Linked DNA regions of Rattus norvegicus. The protein of the gene in region 1 purifies or fractionates together with the protein of each later gene. This does not show direct contact. Links are inferred from orthologs where the notes say so. Each region holds a gene or a part of one and is shown in the gene's direction. Other genes may lie near its edges.

Region 1 (5,667 bases):
GACCTGGCACTGACCGTGGTACCCTATCCTTCTCCCTAGATCTGGGGCAGTCACTCCAAGCCAGGACCTGCCTTTCCTCGTCTTGCAAGGATTGTTGAAGTTTGTGGCCCTTTTTAAAGTAGAGGGGAATAATGCTCTCTTCCTCTGCCTACCTGTTGCTAACACTGGCATGCCTTATTTACTGTAGTCTCTGAGGCCGCCCCCTGCCAAAGGAGCAAAAGAATGTGGAATCGATCAGATTTGGGTTCAAATCCTGACATCTTCATGGACCGAATGTGTGACCTTGGGCAAATACATTACGCTTTCTGATTCTCAGTGTCCATACCTCAAAACTTCTCCAAGCCCCCGACCCCCAACACACACCCAGCTCCTGGTTGCCCGATCTCTTTCTGTTTCAGGATGTCTTTCTATCTTGCTTATCGCTTTTCTTTGCTCTACCTGTGTCTCCCTGTGGTTCTCAGTTTAATGCTCTGGTCCTTGATAGCTTTGTGTCTTTGCTCCCTTCCCAGGAATTGAGCAGCAGTGACAAGAGAAGAGCCAAGGAGCCCAGGAACACCCAGTTCTTCCCTGGCTAGCCTCAGGGTAGCTTCTCAGTGTGCCAGCCTCAGTGTGAGCCAACGGAGGGAAGCGGGAGGAAGCTGGGAGGGCTTCCATACGCCGGGACCTGTATTTGCGTTCATCCCATGTCTCTGTGCATTAGTTTTTTGGGGGAATGAAAGTAATAAATCAGAACTCAAGACTGTTCAGTGACTTATCCTTTTCTTCGTGTTTATTAACTCAAAATATCTCCCTTACTCGGCTCTCTGTATGGTCTGCAGGCCCCGGCAACTGCTCCAGCTACACCTGCCGTTCCTCTTCACTGTTCCATTCCAACCTCCCTAATCTTCTTAGACCCACCAGCCTATCTTTGCCCAGGCTAGCTCTTCTGGATGTAGCGTTCCTTCCAATTGGTCTGCTTGAGGCTGGCTCCTCAGGTCTCAGACCATGTGGCATAGGGCCACATTCTCTTGGCAAAGGCCTCTTGGACCCTGTCCCTAAGTGTTCCTTGTTGCAGGAACATCATTTCCTGGAGGACTCATGTCTCAGACTGGAGTTGCATATGTATATTTGTTGCAATGAAGTCGTTAGTAAAGGAAGAAGCATCTCTGTAAGCGTTCCTTTATTAGTTACCCACTAAGTCATTACCCATCAAGTATGCGGGATACCAGGCCGGGGGAGGAGGGGGGACACGACAAAGCTTCTCTAGGGGAGCTCGAATTCTAAATATGGGGATAAATACCAAATCAATCACATAGCAGGCAGTCTGTTTAGAAGTGCAGCAGTCCACTTCCCCTACTGTGAATTCCACCCCCCCACCCCCCCACACACACACTTCTTCCTGAATGTAAGCTTTATGAGGGTGGAGATTTTTTTTAAAAAAAATTTAAAATTTTAAGTTATATTTGTGTCTATGTGCATGCAAGTGCTGTGCCCCACAAGGCCGGAAGTGCTGATACCCTGTAGCTGCAGTTAAAGGTGGCTGAACCATTGAACAAGGATGCTGGGGATCCATCCTGAATCCTTTGCAAGAGCAGTATGGAAGCCCAACCACTGAGCTGTCTCTCCAGCTCCGGGAGATTAGGTCTTTGTTCTTTTAATGTCCTCGGTGGCCTACAGTCATCATTGAACCAAGGAGCCCGTATCTAGTCAGTACTTGAGAAGCAAATGGGTTTCCAGATGTGAGTCTTTTTTGGTTTTGTTTTGTCTTTTTTACACAGTTCAAGCCAGTAACCTTGATTCAGATCTTGGTGTTGATTTCAAGATTACTGATACATAATCTTGAAAAAGCCATGCTCTACAACCTCAACTTTTTCAATTGTGTAATGGAACTAGCGTGGTGTGTTGCCCGTAGGACAATAATTAAGATGAACAGAGTCCCAGAGAGAGAGGCACACATGGCCCCTGGTCTTACATAGTCACTGACAACTATTTTTGGTGGTTGTGCAAAACCTTGGAGTTCAGATTTACTTGTTCTGAGTAGCCGGAGGCTACCGTACGAGGCACCAGCGTTAGTGAGAGAGGTGCATTTCATATTACTGAAAGTAAAGGGCAACAGTCCAAAGGCCCAACGTTTTGGTAGATGAAGTGTGAGTGTTGTGTCTTTGGAGGGAGCTGTGAATGTGTATTCAGAGCAGTCATGGTAGGAAGAACTTAAGCAACCGAGGGAACAGAGGAGCCAAGTGTCCCTGGGCTACAGTCTCAGCCGTGGGCAACGAATGCGCTGAGAACGTGGATCTAACTACGGGCACCAGCGGTGCGAGAGTGGGGGATGGGCGCGCCGGGGCCGGCGGGCCCAGGGACCCCGGCCGCAGCGCGCGACACCGCCAGCAGGGGACGCCTCGAGACCGCAGAACTCGCACCCGGGGGCCTGACGTCAGCGCCCCGCTCGTTCGGGCTCCCGCTCTGGACTGGGCGCCAGTCCCGCTCCGCGCGGCGCTGCTCCGCTACCGCTCCCGCTCGCCTTGGGCTCCGGCTTCGGCTCCGGAGGCGTCGCCTCCCCAGCTACCGGTCTCCAGGACCCAGGCGGCGGCGCCCCAGCCATGGCCCGAGCTCAGGCTCTGGTCCTGGCGCTCACCTTCCAGTTCTGCGCGCCCGAGACCGAGACTCCCGCAGGTAAGCGCGCGCGGTCCCTCCAAGCTTATCCCGCGAGTGCCCGAGGGGCCGGAGATGGCTGGTCGCCGGTGTTGGAGTGCGGGACGTTCGGTCGCATGCTCTCTGTGGTCGCATGAGTGTCTGTGGCCTCTGTGTCTGTAGTTTGTGTGCAAGCTGAGGTTGAGTGTGTACCGCGGATGCGAGTGTGCTGGTGTGTCGCCTGCGTGGGGCACCGGGTGTGCGCTGGCTCATGTTTGTCCACGCTGCCAAGTGGGTTGTGGGTCTGAGTTTCTGTGGCTTGACTAGAGTTGCGTTTGATACTGTATTGCATTTGTAGGCTGTTTTGTATTCCCCAGGCGGGAGTGCTGGTGCTGGTGCATTTGAAAACCCGCGTGTTTGTTTATGCGTGTGCTGTGAGGGCTCTGTGGATCCTGCCCCAGTGTGGGCCCCGGAACGTGTGTATAGTGTGTGTGCGTGTGCAGTCGTGGGAACCTGGTTGGAGCCTGTGTATCTGTGCGCTGTGCCCACGAGTGACCCTGTGGGAGTGTTTGGGGTGTACGGTGCTGTATGGGTCCGAGTGAATGTCAGAGATGCGGGGAATGCGTGTGGGGGAGCGTGTTTAGAGTGGATGTGAGTGTGTCGGTGAGCTGTGGTTACGTGGCTAGGGACGCTGCGAGCTTGGGGTGCTCCTGGGCCGTGGTCGAGTGTGGCAGGGAACCGAGGGTGTGTGTGTGTGCGTGTGTGTGCGTGTGCGTGTGTGTGTGTGTGTGTGATAGCGCGCGCGTGTGCGTGGCGCACCGGGCCGGAACAAGTTGTCGCGGTGGCATCCCTCGGAGGCTGGGGCGGCCCTGCGGCTGGCGAGGGAAGGAAGGGGGAGAGACGCGGCTGTAGCCGCCGACTCCGACATTTCGGGCGGTTTGTTGTTTCGCAAGTTCCAAGCGGCGCTGGCTGGCGGCTGATCCCAGGCGGCGCCAGGGCCGCGGGGCGCCCGGGTGGGGAGAGCAGTGGGGCGCACCCGGTTGCGGGCGGGGCTGCGGCGTCGGGGCCCCCGCAAGGCCTGGCTGGAGGCCGCGGGACAGCGTCCCCATCGTAGCCCGCCAGAGGCGTTGGGGACGCCGCGGTTCCTGGGGACGCTGCCTGCGTCTGCTTTGCAACTTTGTGCGGCCTCCCGGCCAGCGGGGCGCGCGCGTGCGGACGTGTGTGTGCGCGTGTAAATGTGTGCGTGGGGCTCCCCCTCGGCCTGCGGTGTGATCGTGTGCCTGAGTGTGCTTTGGAGCCTGGTGTCCTATGAAGGGTGTGTGTGCATTCGTATGTCTGAATGTGTGTCCAGTGCCTGTGTCTGTGCGTCCGCGAGTGCATCGCATCGTGTGCTCTGTTGACGGAGTGTCGGTGTGCTTGTGTGTGTGCGTGGTCCACCATCCTTTCCTGAGGCCTGGACCTCAGGCCTCATCCCCTCCAGCGGGCGTGCGCCCGCTCTTTTCCAGGGTTTCCTCCTCCCCTGGCTCCCGCCACCCGGCGTGGGGTAGCTGGGAGCCGCCCGGGGTGGAAGCAGAGCCGAGACACGCGCTGCTGCCTTGGGCCGGGAGAGAGACTCCAGGCCGCCTGCCCCAGACTGCGAGCCTCCGGGATCTAGTTCACGGCCCCGCCCCCGCTGGGGCGTCTCGTGAGCTGTCCTGGCCTTGCCCTGCTCAGCTTCAGTTTTGACCTCCTGGTATCTGCCTCTTAGACCTTTCTCAACCCCTCCCACCTTCCCCCACTTTGAGATCGAACCCTTTGCACTCCCCACCCCATCACCTTGATTGGAGAATAAACGTGAGAGCCTCAATCACCACAGTAGTGGACTGTCAGGATCAATGTTTGAGAGTGAGACCTACTGCAGGTTATTCTCATTCCTGAGCCTCAGTTTCTCCGTTGGCTTCATGATCTTACTAATGATCGCGTATTACTTGGTAGAAGGTTAAGTCCCCTATCTGGGAATCAGAGAAGATGGGTTGGAGGGGGTGTGGTAAAGCCCTAGGGGCTAACTTGAAGCCAGGGGCAACATGGACTCAAATTCTGTCTCTGCTACTTGCTGTGTGTGACCTTGGGTAAGTCTCTTTACCTCTCAAGCTCCTGGCACCTTTGAAGCTCTTACAATTAGAGATCGATTCAGAAGCTCTGGGCAGAAGGGAGGTGGCAGCCCTCTGTCTTCAGTCTAGGGAGTGGATCCAGTTCCCTGCCTACCTCCTTAGTCACGCAGTGGGGGTCTGTGTAGGGTGTCTCTGTGCAGAGCACACCTGGCAGTAATTATCCCACTGAGTGCTCTGGCTCAATCTATCTTTTTGGTCGCTGGAATTGTGGGCATCAGGAATGAGGGAGAGGTGCCCTGTGGTTTCAGGTTAGGCAAAGAGGGCTTGTCAGGGCAGCCTTCTCTCTGGGGCTGAAAAGGGAGGCTAGGCAGGAAGCCAGGAGGGTGGCCTGGATCCTATGCCACACTTCCAGGCTGCCTCCTGCTTCTGTCCAGTGGCATCAGAGATCCAGGACTGTACCCTGTTAGCTGGGGGCATGCTGCTATCCTCCAGGCTGGCCCTAACTGGGCTTGTGGTACCAGCTAGGTCAGCCAGAGTGACAGGAGCTTTGTGCCTTCCCTTTGTGTCTTGAAGTAACCTATGTCTCCTCCATCTTTCCTTTTTCTCCCTCCTCAGCCGTCGTCCACTTACAGAAAGGCAGTAGCATCTTCCTTCCACAGTGACAGGGTTCTTCCTAAAATGCATGCATTAAACCCCTCTTCCAATTCTCATCAAAGCTCCCTGTTACTTTCACAGTTAAAGTCTTTCCTTCTCAGCCCCATCAGTGTTCTAGTCTCTGCCTGGTCCACCTCATCTTGGGATCCTATGATCTGGCTAGCCTTATCTACCAGTAGTCCCTAAGTACCCACTACCCACTATCTCTTCTCGGCACCATGTACAAATTGCTTTCTCTCTGTGATTCCACAGTTTCCATTGTGAGCCCCTAGTTTGTTTCTCAGCTTAGATATCACTTCTTCATTGAAGCCTT
Region 2 (5,015 bases), on another chromosome or scaffold:
AAGTTCCTTGTGTGGGCTGGGGAAGTGGCTCAGCAGGTGAAGGCCCCTGCTCTCAAGATTAACGGCTTGAGTTCATTTCATAGGATCCAAATGGAGGAAGGTAAAGAGTTGTCCTGTGATCTCCACATCACGCTGTGACAGGCTTGCAGTAAATGTTTGAGAAGTTGTGTCTGCAAGTGGCTAGCCATCTCATGGGGATAATGAAGTCAACATGAGTCGAGCTTGCAATATGAATGTTTTCAGCATGAACAGCACATTCCTTCAAAAACAGGCTTGGGGTTCTTGCAATGCGGTTTTTGGTGGGGATTTATATCCAGCAATTCCGACAGCACACTAGGAGAGCAGGCCTGTCATTTGATTCTCTGCTCTGCTAGTATGGCTTCCAGCTTACTGGAATCACTGTCTAATGATTCAGAGCTTGGTTTGCTCCAACTGGGAGTGGGAGATAGAAGTTATCTGCTCTAACCTTCCTCACAAGGACAGAGTGGGGATAAATGGCAGGTGTTTGAAAGCCCTTAGAGCCCTTGAGGAAAACATTTTCTACAATGCAGTTTTATGGCAAACTTGCCAGAGGACTTCATCAAATGTACACCTCTAGAAGGTCTCAGATATTCAAGGAAGAACTTTTCTCTCCATGCCATGCTTTACATTCTTGACTTTTACAAGAGTGATAATTATCTCCCTTCATAGAGGACTTCCCATTTAAATTTGCCGATGGTGTGGTCCTCTAGCCATCTCAATTATAAGAAGTTAATCTGACCACAGAAGTACCTTTTCTTGATAAAGAAAAGGGAAAAGGGAAAGGCACCACAGATTTTCATATGAGTGTTTCATCCTCCAAGCTAACAGAGATTAAAGAAAGATTGGAAAATATGGCTTAGACTCAACACATTTACAGAAGATGTTTTCTAAAAGTTTTTATTTCCGTGGTTTAGTTTTCTGTTTTGACAGTGTTTATCCTGTCAATTTATTATATATTATACTAATATCATCTATAATTGTATTGTTTATTGTAATAAATGGACAGATTGCCTTTGGTACAAAACGATGAAACAAGATTCATTAATATTTGATGGCCTGGCAAGGTGATTCAGTAAAATGTCTGCCACAAGCCTAGGTTGAATCCAACATAGAGGCCAATTTTTATGTGGGGTGTGCCTACAATTCTAGTGTTGGAGAAGGAAAGGCAGAGGATCTCAGGGGCTCATTGACCAGCCAATCTAGTCTAATTCATGACCCTGGAGTCCTCACGAGGGACCGTGTCTCAGTTCACAAGATATAGGCCTCCTGAGAAATGTGACTTGAGGCTGACATCATGCTCGCACAAGCTTCCTCATGCTCCCACACACTCCCACACACTCCCACATGCTCTCCCAACATAAACAGCTATGTGTCTGGGCACTCACAAGCACACTGGCTGGCACAAATTGAAATGTAACAAAGAATATTTTGTGTCTTGCTTAGCTAAAACTATTTTGTACAACCATGGATGTCCATTAGTAGTGCAAGCCCCTTCTGCTGACTAGTAAGTGAAGCTAATGAGAAAGCAACCCAGTTCTTCTTCAACTGAGTCTTAAAGCTTATCCCAGTCCTTTAAAATATCTGTTGAGAAGAAACTGACCTTAAAGCAGCTTTCATAAGCATCAGGATTGAGGATTTCCAGTTTCTATTTTTTTTTTTTTTTTGCTTGTTTTCCTTTCTAGTCTAAGCAGAGCTGGAGTCAGATTGCCTTTGAGGGACGTGCGTTCCTAATAAATGGTTACTGGTAGGCTTCAGTTTCCTGGTCTCTGAGCATTCTCTGAGATAAAATTTTGCCTGGATTATTTATGTCTTAGGGTGAGATGACACAGTGAGAATGAAATAGCTTCCTCGCACCTCTCTTCCTTTTTAGTCATGGCTGTGTATATTTCTAGACTCCAGGATTTTGCTTATGCTGTAGCCCTTTAGATGTGGTAATAGAAGCATAATGTCACCACATTTGAAATAGAAAAGTGTCATGTCTTATGATGTGCTTATCTTGAAATAACAAGGGGCAGCAGAACCATGACGCGATGCCTAGAAGAATGGAAGAGAAACCTTTGTCATCCATGCAGAAGGAAGCAGGATTTCAGGCTCTAGAAGAGCAGAACCAAGTAGAACCCAGAGAGCCTGAGGGGCGTCAAGTGGAAGAGGAACACAGGAAGGCACTGGAAGAGGAGGAAATGGAGCAGGTGGGACAGGCAGAGCATCTAGAGGAAGAACACGACCCATCACCAGAGGAGCAGGATCGAGAGTGGCGCGATCAGCGGAGACAGAATGCAGCCCACCTTCTGGATGGCCGCCCTCAAGCTGAGGTGCATGGGTGCCCACTAGAAGTTCTCTCTGATGGGGAGCTTGGCTTTAGTTTAAAATACTAATAAAAGAATAATAATAGCAACAGTAATAATAATGATAATGACACAATGAGACTGTGGAGATGGTCAGTCAGTGAAGTAAAATCTGGATGAACTCATTTTGATCCCAAATGCTGTGTACAAAGCTTGTGTGGTGGTATGTTTCTATAGTCCTGCACTGGGGAAATAGACAGGTGTCTGGGGCTCACCAGCCAGCCAGCCTAGCCTGACAAGAAAGCCCAGGTTTCAGAGAGAGACCATGCCTTTAAAAGCAAGGTGAATAGTACATAAAGAAGGACTCTTGAGGCATTCTCACACACACACACACACACACACACACACACACACACACACACACACACACACACAGAGAGAGAGAGAGAGAGAGAGTTTCTCCCTCCTCTCTTTGTCTCTGTTTTTCTATTTCTCCTCTTTCTGTGTCTTTCTCTCCTTTTCAACTCTCTTTCTTTGTCTCTGTCTCTATCTTTAATCTCCTCTGAATCAGTAGTATAAGCTGAAATTTGACATTTCCTTTAGCCTGAGACTAACATACATTTTTGGAGTTAGCATCCTTGGACCTTTATTCCTATACAAAGCCTTAGCTTCACACATTGTGCATTTAGTGTGGGGTTACCAGCTTGATTCAGAACCTAAAAGCATGAATTTAGTTAAGGTTGGAACTGATTTCTTGTGCTGTGCCCTGTAGTATTGAAGCAGGAGCACACTGAAAGGCCACCTTCCAGCTGACAGGTCCAGAAGAAGACCAAGTCCTTTCAGAAAAAGCTGGAAATTACAAGTTCTTAGGCTTTATGTACAATTGGCATTTACCTGATATAAAGTGTTGAGAAGCCTATCCTGCCTCCTGAGTTTGTCCTGCCAAGCAAGTGAAGGGTTTAACGCTCCTAGCTCAGCTTGAACCTTTTCTATTCTAGATTGAGCATTCAACCAAGGCAGCTACAAACTTCCGGTCCCCATATGAGGAGCAGTTGGAACAGCAGAGGCTGGCAGCAAGGAGAGATGAGGAAGCCCAGCGGCTGAGAGAACATCAAGAAGCTTTGCACCAACAGAGGCTCCACGGACAGTTGCTACGACAACAGCAGCAGCAGCAGTACCTGGCCAGAGAGATGGCTCAGCAGAAGCAGGCAGACCATGAGGAAGGCCAGCAGCAGTACCAGCTAAGGTAGCCTGCCCCTTTCCCTGGTGGGTGTAGACAGTCCTTCTTCTTTTGTCAAATCAGCATTGTGTACGTGTAGTGTATGGCAAGAAGACAAACTTATATTGCCCATGGAGACAAGATAGAAAAAAAGTATTAGGGAATTAAATGCTAGATACTCACTTTTAAGCATAATTTTTGTTCTGTCTAAACGCAATAGTTATCAGATAGTTATCAGTTGAGAAGAGGGCTTGGTGATAAAGGACTTACCACACAAATATTAGCACTTAAGTTCAAATCCCCAGAATCGATGCAAATCTAAGTACAGTGGCATACAGTCTGGAATTCTGGGCTAGTTCATCAGGATGGGAGATGGAGACAAGGAGAATCTCTAGAAGTTTTCAGCCAATCAGCGTGGAGTACGTAACAGCAAACACCAGAAAGTCAGGCTCTGAGTCAAACATGGTTGAAGACGAGGACACCATGCAGGGTTACCTTCCGACCCCGTGGTATGCTGCATGTTGGTGCACCTCTCACAAGACTTCCGTGCACACACATTGCACACTCCTGTGAAATAAAAGCAAGCAGCCTCAAAATCGCCTAGCATCCGCAGTTCTAACTTAATTTCATCAGGGAATGACAATTTATTTTTTAAAGGCTTTGAAAACATAGCTGGTATCACGATTACACTTTATTATGTGTCTAAATCTCAGAAACAAGTTATGGCTTATTCTAAAAGCTGAAATCTTTATTTATTCCTGTCTTAAAAGATAAATGACCTTTGTCAAACTGTGCTGGCTGATTGTTTATCTCCGAATTTGGGTCCCTGACAGGCAGCAAGCTCATTCTGATGCTGTGGAGAATGATGTTGCACAGGGAGCCGAGGACCAAGGAATCCCTGAAGAAGAGGGAGGTGGTAAGACTTCTTAGATGATGCCACTTCAGTCAGACTGCTTGGTCATACCACGCTATAGCAAGCAGCACAGTCCCTTGCTCCAACAGGCTAACTCCATCCCTGAATAAATGCAGAAGACAGCTGTGACTCATGCTAACACTGTTGCCACACTTGGTCTGAGTGCTGGTAAAAACATATACCACTACTGAAACCTGGCCACGATGGTGACTCTTTCCTACATAATTCTTACCTCTGCTCAAGGCTCAGATCTAGAGTGAAAAAAAAAAATGTAGTAAGCATAGGGATGAATTCTGTTGATGAAGGATGCAAGGACAGGCTGATAAGTTATTCTCTACCAGAGGAATGAACCAATTCAAGTCAAATTAAATTAAGGCAGGGTGCTTAACAGTTGTTTCTGACAATCAGTCTTAGGATTGGTGTTCTTTAGGAAATTTATTTGTTTACTACTTAGCTTGGGAATCTCCTACTCTTGTTTAAATGTATGTACACACACACAAGGCAAAAATTTAGTATGAAATTTATCAAATGATGCTTCCTGTGGAGATGGAGCTGAAGTTAACTCTCCTTGGTACCA
Region 3 (5,015 bases), on another chromosome or scaffold:
GATGGGTCCTTTCTTCAGGTGCACCTCCCTAGGAGCCCACACTGCTTCAGGCTTGCAGACAGAAAGAGGAAGAAGCTGTGGATAACAGCGTCGTGTTTGGTGAATTCGTCATACTTGTGTGTTAGGAGGCACTAGAAGAAAGGCTTTGTCAAAAGCCAGCGTCTGGCTGCTGTGCATGTTCAAAGCTTGACTCTGCGGTCTGGTTGGCTGAGTCGCGCGTTAGCAGAATTGGGGCCAGCATCTGCTTGCTGGGCTTGTGTTCAGAGACTGACCCTGAAGTTGGGTTGGTGGAGTCTGTGCATTAATACAAGGGGTTTAGTCTGTGTTGCAGCTTGAGCTGATGGGGTCACAGCGTCCATGTTTCCGAGAAGTGACACTACAGAGCCATCATGGTCATTCTCCTAACACTGTGTTCATGCTCCTCGGGGTTTTCGTCTTAAGTCAGTGTAGCCTTTAAATTAAAACGCTAGGTGTGAATATGGAAAGCATGAAGACTTTTTAAATATGACTGAGTTAGAAAAAAATCATAAAAGGCTAATAAATTTAGCTGCTTGAAAACATACATACAATTTGTATATAGCAAAAGGAACAATTGAGTCATGTTAAAGGCCAGGCCCCGTGCTACAAACACTTGGAAAGTGTGAGCAGGAGGGTCAGGGCCTTTAAGTTATTCTTGACCATACAGAAAGTTCCAGGCTAGCATGGGCTGCATGAGATCCTGTCTAAAGAAGAAAAGGAAACAAAAAAGGAAAGAAAGGAAGGGAAGGGAGGGAAGGGAAGGGAGAGGAGAGGAGAGGAGAGGAGAGGAGAGGAGAGGAGAGGAGAGGAGAGGAGAGGAGAGGAGAGGAGAGGAGAGGAGGAAAGGAAGGACCAGAAACATTTATTTTATAACACATGAGGGCTGCTGAGATGGCCACTGGGTCTCATAGCCAGAGTCTCACCCCTGGAGCCCACATGGAAGAGAGAACCAGCTTTTATAAGGTGTTCTCTGGCCTCCTGTGTGCTGTGGCATAAGTACACATTCACACAGACATGCATACGTGTCTGTGCCCTCCTGTGCACGCACACACACATACAGAGAAATGAATTCTTTTAAAACCCTGAAAAAGTAGAAAGTGGAAAGGTTATATTTTACAGTATATAGTCAACAAAGGGCTGACCTCTTAATGTAAAATAAATGAGGCCCCCAGAGAGAGAAGACTGGCTTGGGTGTGCACCTGTACTGCTGCGTGTTCCTAGCTTGGAGATGCCTTATCCCGGATAGCCCGGAGTAGCCTCACTATCTACATCCCTCTCTGCATCTCCTGTCTAGCCTGAGTCTATGCTGAGCCTTTCCCAAGCTCACCCCACACAGACCTGTTCCAAAGGCTTCTGAACCTACCACACGGTAGGGGTGGTTGGGGAAATGCACACGTTCCTTGGTATGAAGTGTCTGGGTTAGATTGACTTCACTGTGACAAAAAACACTCAGGAGTCCACGCACGAGGAAGAAACCCTTAGGCTCAGTATCAGCCATTTCATCCAGAGGTACCAGGCTCCACTGTTGGGGGTGCATTGCCACGGCACCTTGGAAAGGAGCATGGTGTGAAACACTGGCATCAGGGAAGCAGAGAGGGATTGCTTTATAACGAAATCTCCTGCTTGAAACCCATTAAGCTAGAAATCTGAAAACAGATTAATCTGTGAATCAAAACCCTCATGATCCAGTCACTTCACCATTAAACTCACCTCACTGGGAGCTGAGCCTTCAACACAGAAAGCAGACCACATCACAGAGCAACCGGTGCGTAACTTTTGCTGACTGAGTTCGAGTGACAAAAGCAAGATTGAGTGTGCCATGTATGCAGTGTGACCGTTTGTGTAAAAAGGTGTGCGACGTGTGCCTGGAACATGGGCCGCGTTACATTACTGTACTGATGTGTCTTCAGGGATGAAAAGGAACCCATACAAATCGAAGACCCGAGTGCTGTTAAGCCTGACGGCTGGCTCGATGATGAACCAAAATTTATCCCCAATCCTAAAGCTGAGAAACCCGAAGACTGGTAAGCGCTCTGCAGCTCCACACACAGTGCCAGAGATCTCTTGATGGCTTACTCTTCATGGCTTCCTACAAAGACTGGAGATAATGGATTCCTCTGCTCCAATCATTTCAGGAGTGACAGCATGGATGGAGAATGGGAGGCGCCACACATTCCTAACCCAGCCTGTCAGATCGGATGTGGAGAATGGAAACCTCCCATGATAGATAACCCAAAATACAAAGGGATCTGGAGACCACCGATGATCAATAACCCTAACTACCAGGTGATAAGCGCTGCCCAGTTCTGTAGTAAGGTTGGATTGGTTCTTCTAATCCTCACCAGTGTCCTGCGGCTTTTAGAAGTTTCACATGTAATTTTATGAAGTTAAAAAGTTGAGGGGTTGGGGATTTGGCTCAGTGGCAGAGCGCTTGCCTAGGAAGCGCAAGGCCCTGGGTTCGGTCCCCAGCTCCGAAAAAAAGAACCAAAAAAAAAAAAAAAAAAAAAGTTGAGTAATTTGGGTTAGGAAAGAGGAAGGGGTCTGGGGTGGGGACCACATGAATCTCCCTAAAGGGGAAGACAGAATAGATTTTTATGGGTGGACTGGGGGGTGGGTGGGGACAGGAGTGAGGAAATCAGACTGGGGAGTGATGGGGTAGAGACAGAATGAAGGGAGAGGTGACTGGGATTGGGGGTTCATTTGGGTATGGTATGAAAACCTGGTGCAGTGGAAACTCCCTGGAATCTATGAAGGTGACCCTAGGGAGGACTCCTGGTAATGGGGTACAGAGTCCCAACTGGTCATCTCTGTAGCCAGGCAAGGCTCCCAGAGGTGAGAGCAGGGCACACTCAGTTGAGTTGTTGGCCAAGGGGGTCCCATGGAAATCCTGAATTGACCCAGGCAATTGATTGCCGAGACAAAGGCCGCTCTCAGCACACTGGGTCCCACTGCTGAAGACGACACCACACAACTCATTGAGCATGGAGAAGTCAGGCTGGTGCCTACTTGGAGCTCTCGTCCCTACGTTTCAGTCTCTCTTTGCAGGAAGGTACTATGCAGGCCAATGAAAGAGAAACACAGACACCAACCCAGCCACAAAACCTTCGACCTACAATTTGTCCTGCCTGCAAGATGTGCTGGGGCATTGGTGGCACAGAACTTGGTGGGAGTGGCCAACGGTGTCTGATTTGACTTAAGGCCCACTCCATGAGAAGGGACCCATACCCAACACTGCTTGGGTGACCTAGAACCAGAGACAGATAGCACAGACCCCTAGGGTAAAACCAAACGGTAAAGTCTTTTAAAATAAAGTAGCAATTTAAAAAACAAATGTAGCATCTTTTGTTGGGTGTGGTAGCACACACCTTTAATCCCAGTACTTGAGAGGTAGAGTTAGGAGGATCTCCATGAGTTCAAGGCCAGCCTGGTCTACAGAGCAAGTTCCAGGACAGACAGGGCTATGTAGAGAAACCATCTCTGTCTCTGTCTCTCTCACATACATACATACATACATACATACATACATACATACATACATACAGATAGAATGATGGTATATATATCTATATCTATATACACACAATTGTGGTTGTATATTCTAATTCTTCACTGTGGTCCTTCTTTGTAGCATTCATTTATCACAAGGTGTGTCTGTGTGTGTGAGAGAGAGAGTATGTGAGAGAGAGCGAGAGTGTGTGTGTGTGTGTGTGTGTGTGTGTGTGTGTGTGTGTGTGTGTGGGAGAGAGAGAGAGAGGGAGAGAGAGAGAGAGAGAGTGTGTGTGTGTGTGAGAGAGAGGGTGGGGGGAGCACTTGCCCTTCATCTTACTGTTTTTGAGATGTTGTCTCTCATTAAACCTGGATCTTTCTGACTCAAGTTGACTAACTGGCTGACAGATTCCAGGGACTCCCTATCTCCATTTCCTCAGGACTGGGATTACAGCCATTGCCCTACAGCACAGCTCTTTAAATGGTGCCAGAGACTAAACTCAGCTCCTTGTACCTTCTTCCCACAGGGGACCACATGTTACCACCTAAGCTATCTCCCCACCCTTACTATAAAGGCTTCTTCTGCTCCTTTTTATTTGTTTAACAACATCACTTTACTTAAAAGTTTCCTTTGCTGTTTCTTCCAGGGAATCTGGAGTCCTCAGAAAATTCCTAACCCGGATTATTTTGAAGATGACCACCCATTCCTTCTGACTTCTTTCAGTGCTCTGGGCTTAGAGCTTTGGTCCATGACTCCTGACATCTACTTTGATAATTTTATCATCTGTTCAGAAAAGGAGGTGGCGGATCAGTGGGCTGCAGATGGCTGGGAGCTGAAGATAATGGTGGCAAATGCCAATGAGGTGTGACAGTGACCACAGACAAGTAACGGGACGGTGGGCGGGAAGGCCTCCTGGGGACCCAGTCCTGGCCGTGGGTGACACAGATGCAGCAGCTACTAAATGCCAAGGGAACGGACTTGAGTACGTTTCATACAGACCATCTAGCTTCTCTGCATCGCCTGCATGGTGAACTTAAATTATAACAGCCCCAGTGAGATTCAAAGTCTGGCTGTAGTTTATAGCATTAAAAAGAATGCGTTAGGGGTTGGGGACTTAGCTCAGTGGTAGAGCACTTGCCTAGCAAGCGCAAGGCCCTGGGTTCGGTCCCCAGCTCCGAAAAAAAGAAAAAAGGAAAAAAAAAAAGTGTGTTTTCATGTCGGCAGTGCAAGGCTGATTTGTAACAGTGATCTATATGTGATCCAAGTATTTTTACTTAGAGAAATGCCAAGAAGCCTAATCCAACATTGTTGTGTTTGTTTCCCTGCTGTGCTGTGTGCTCTGGGCTAGCTGCCCGGGAGCCTGCTAACTCCACTTCCCACCTCACCCCAGGGTGGGCGCTGGGGTGACAGAGGCAGGCCACTGCGCCCTGCATTTCACGTGGGTGTCGTCACTTTAATCTGCTGAGCCATTCACCCACGCGCAGTTGGTTTCTTTAGACACTTGATTGTT

Evidence for each region.
Region 2: the proteins of Ptpru (region 1) and Golim4 purify together in Homo sapiens (affinity purification with mass spectrometry; 3 studies listed by BioGRID and IntAct, counting the BioPlex papers as one, with this or other methods). This does not show direct contact. The link is inferred for Rattus norvegicus from reciprocal best matches to the Homo sapiens genes PTPRU and GOLIM4.
Region 3: the proteins of Ptpru (region 1) and Clgn purify together in Homo sapiens (affinity purification with mass spectrometry; 3 studies listed by BioGRID and IntAct, with this or other methods). This does not show direct contact. The link is inferred for Rattus norvegicus from reciprocal best matches to the Homo sapiens genes PTPRU and CLGN.

Annotation. Positions count from the first base shown.
Region 1 is NC_086023.1:149,305,623-149,311,289, reverse strand, and holds the start of Ptpru (receptor-type tyrosine-protein phosphatase U precursor 1 precursor), read left to right. Parts: upstream 1-2,456; 5' UTR 2,457-2,579; coding exon 2,580-2,652; intron 2,653-3,885; exon of another isoform or gene 3,886-5,667.
Region 2 is NC_086020.1:162,954,510-162,959,524, reverse strand, and holds part of Golim4 (Golgi integral membrane protein 4), read left to right. Parts: intron 1-2,030; coding exon 2,031-2,333; intron 2,334-3,304; coding exon 3,305-3,552; intron 3,553-4,358; coding exon 4,359-4,441; intron 4,442-5,015. UniProt on the Homo sapiens protein: Plays a role in endosome to Golgi protein trafficking; mediates protein transport along the late endosome-bypass pathway from the early endosome to the Golgi.
Region 3 is NC_086037.1:41,604,777-41,609,791, reverse strand, and holds part of Clgn (calmegin precursor), read left to right. Parts: intron 1-1,928; coding exon 1,929-2,042; intron 2,043-2,153; coding exon 2,154-2,304; intron 2,305-4,151; coding exon 4,152-4,367; intron 4,368-5,015. UniProt on the Homo sapiens protein: Functions during spermatogenesis as a chaperone for a range of client proteins that are important for sperm adhesion onto the egg zona pellucida and for subsequent penetration of the zona pellucida.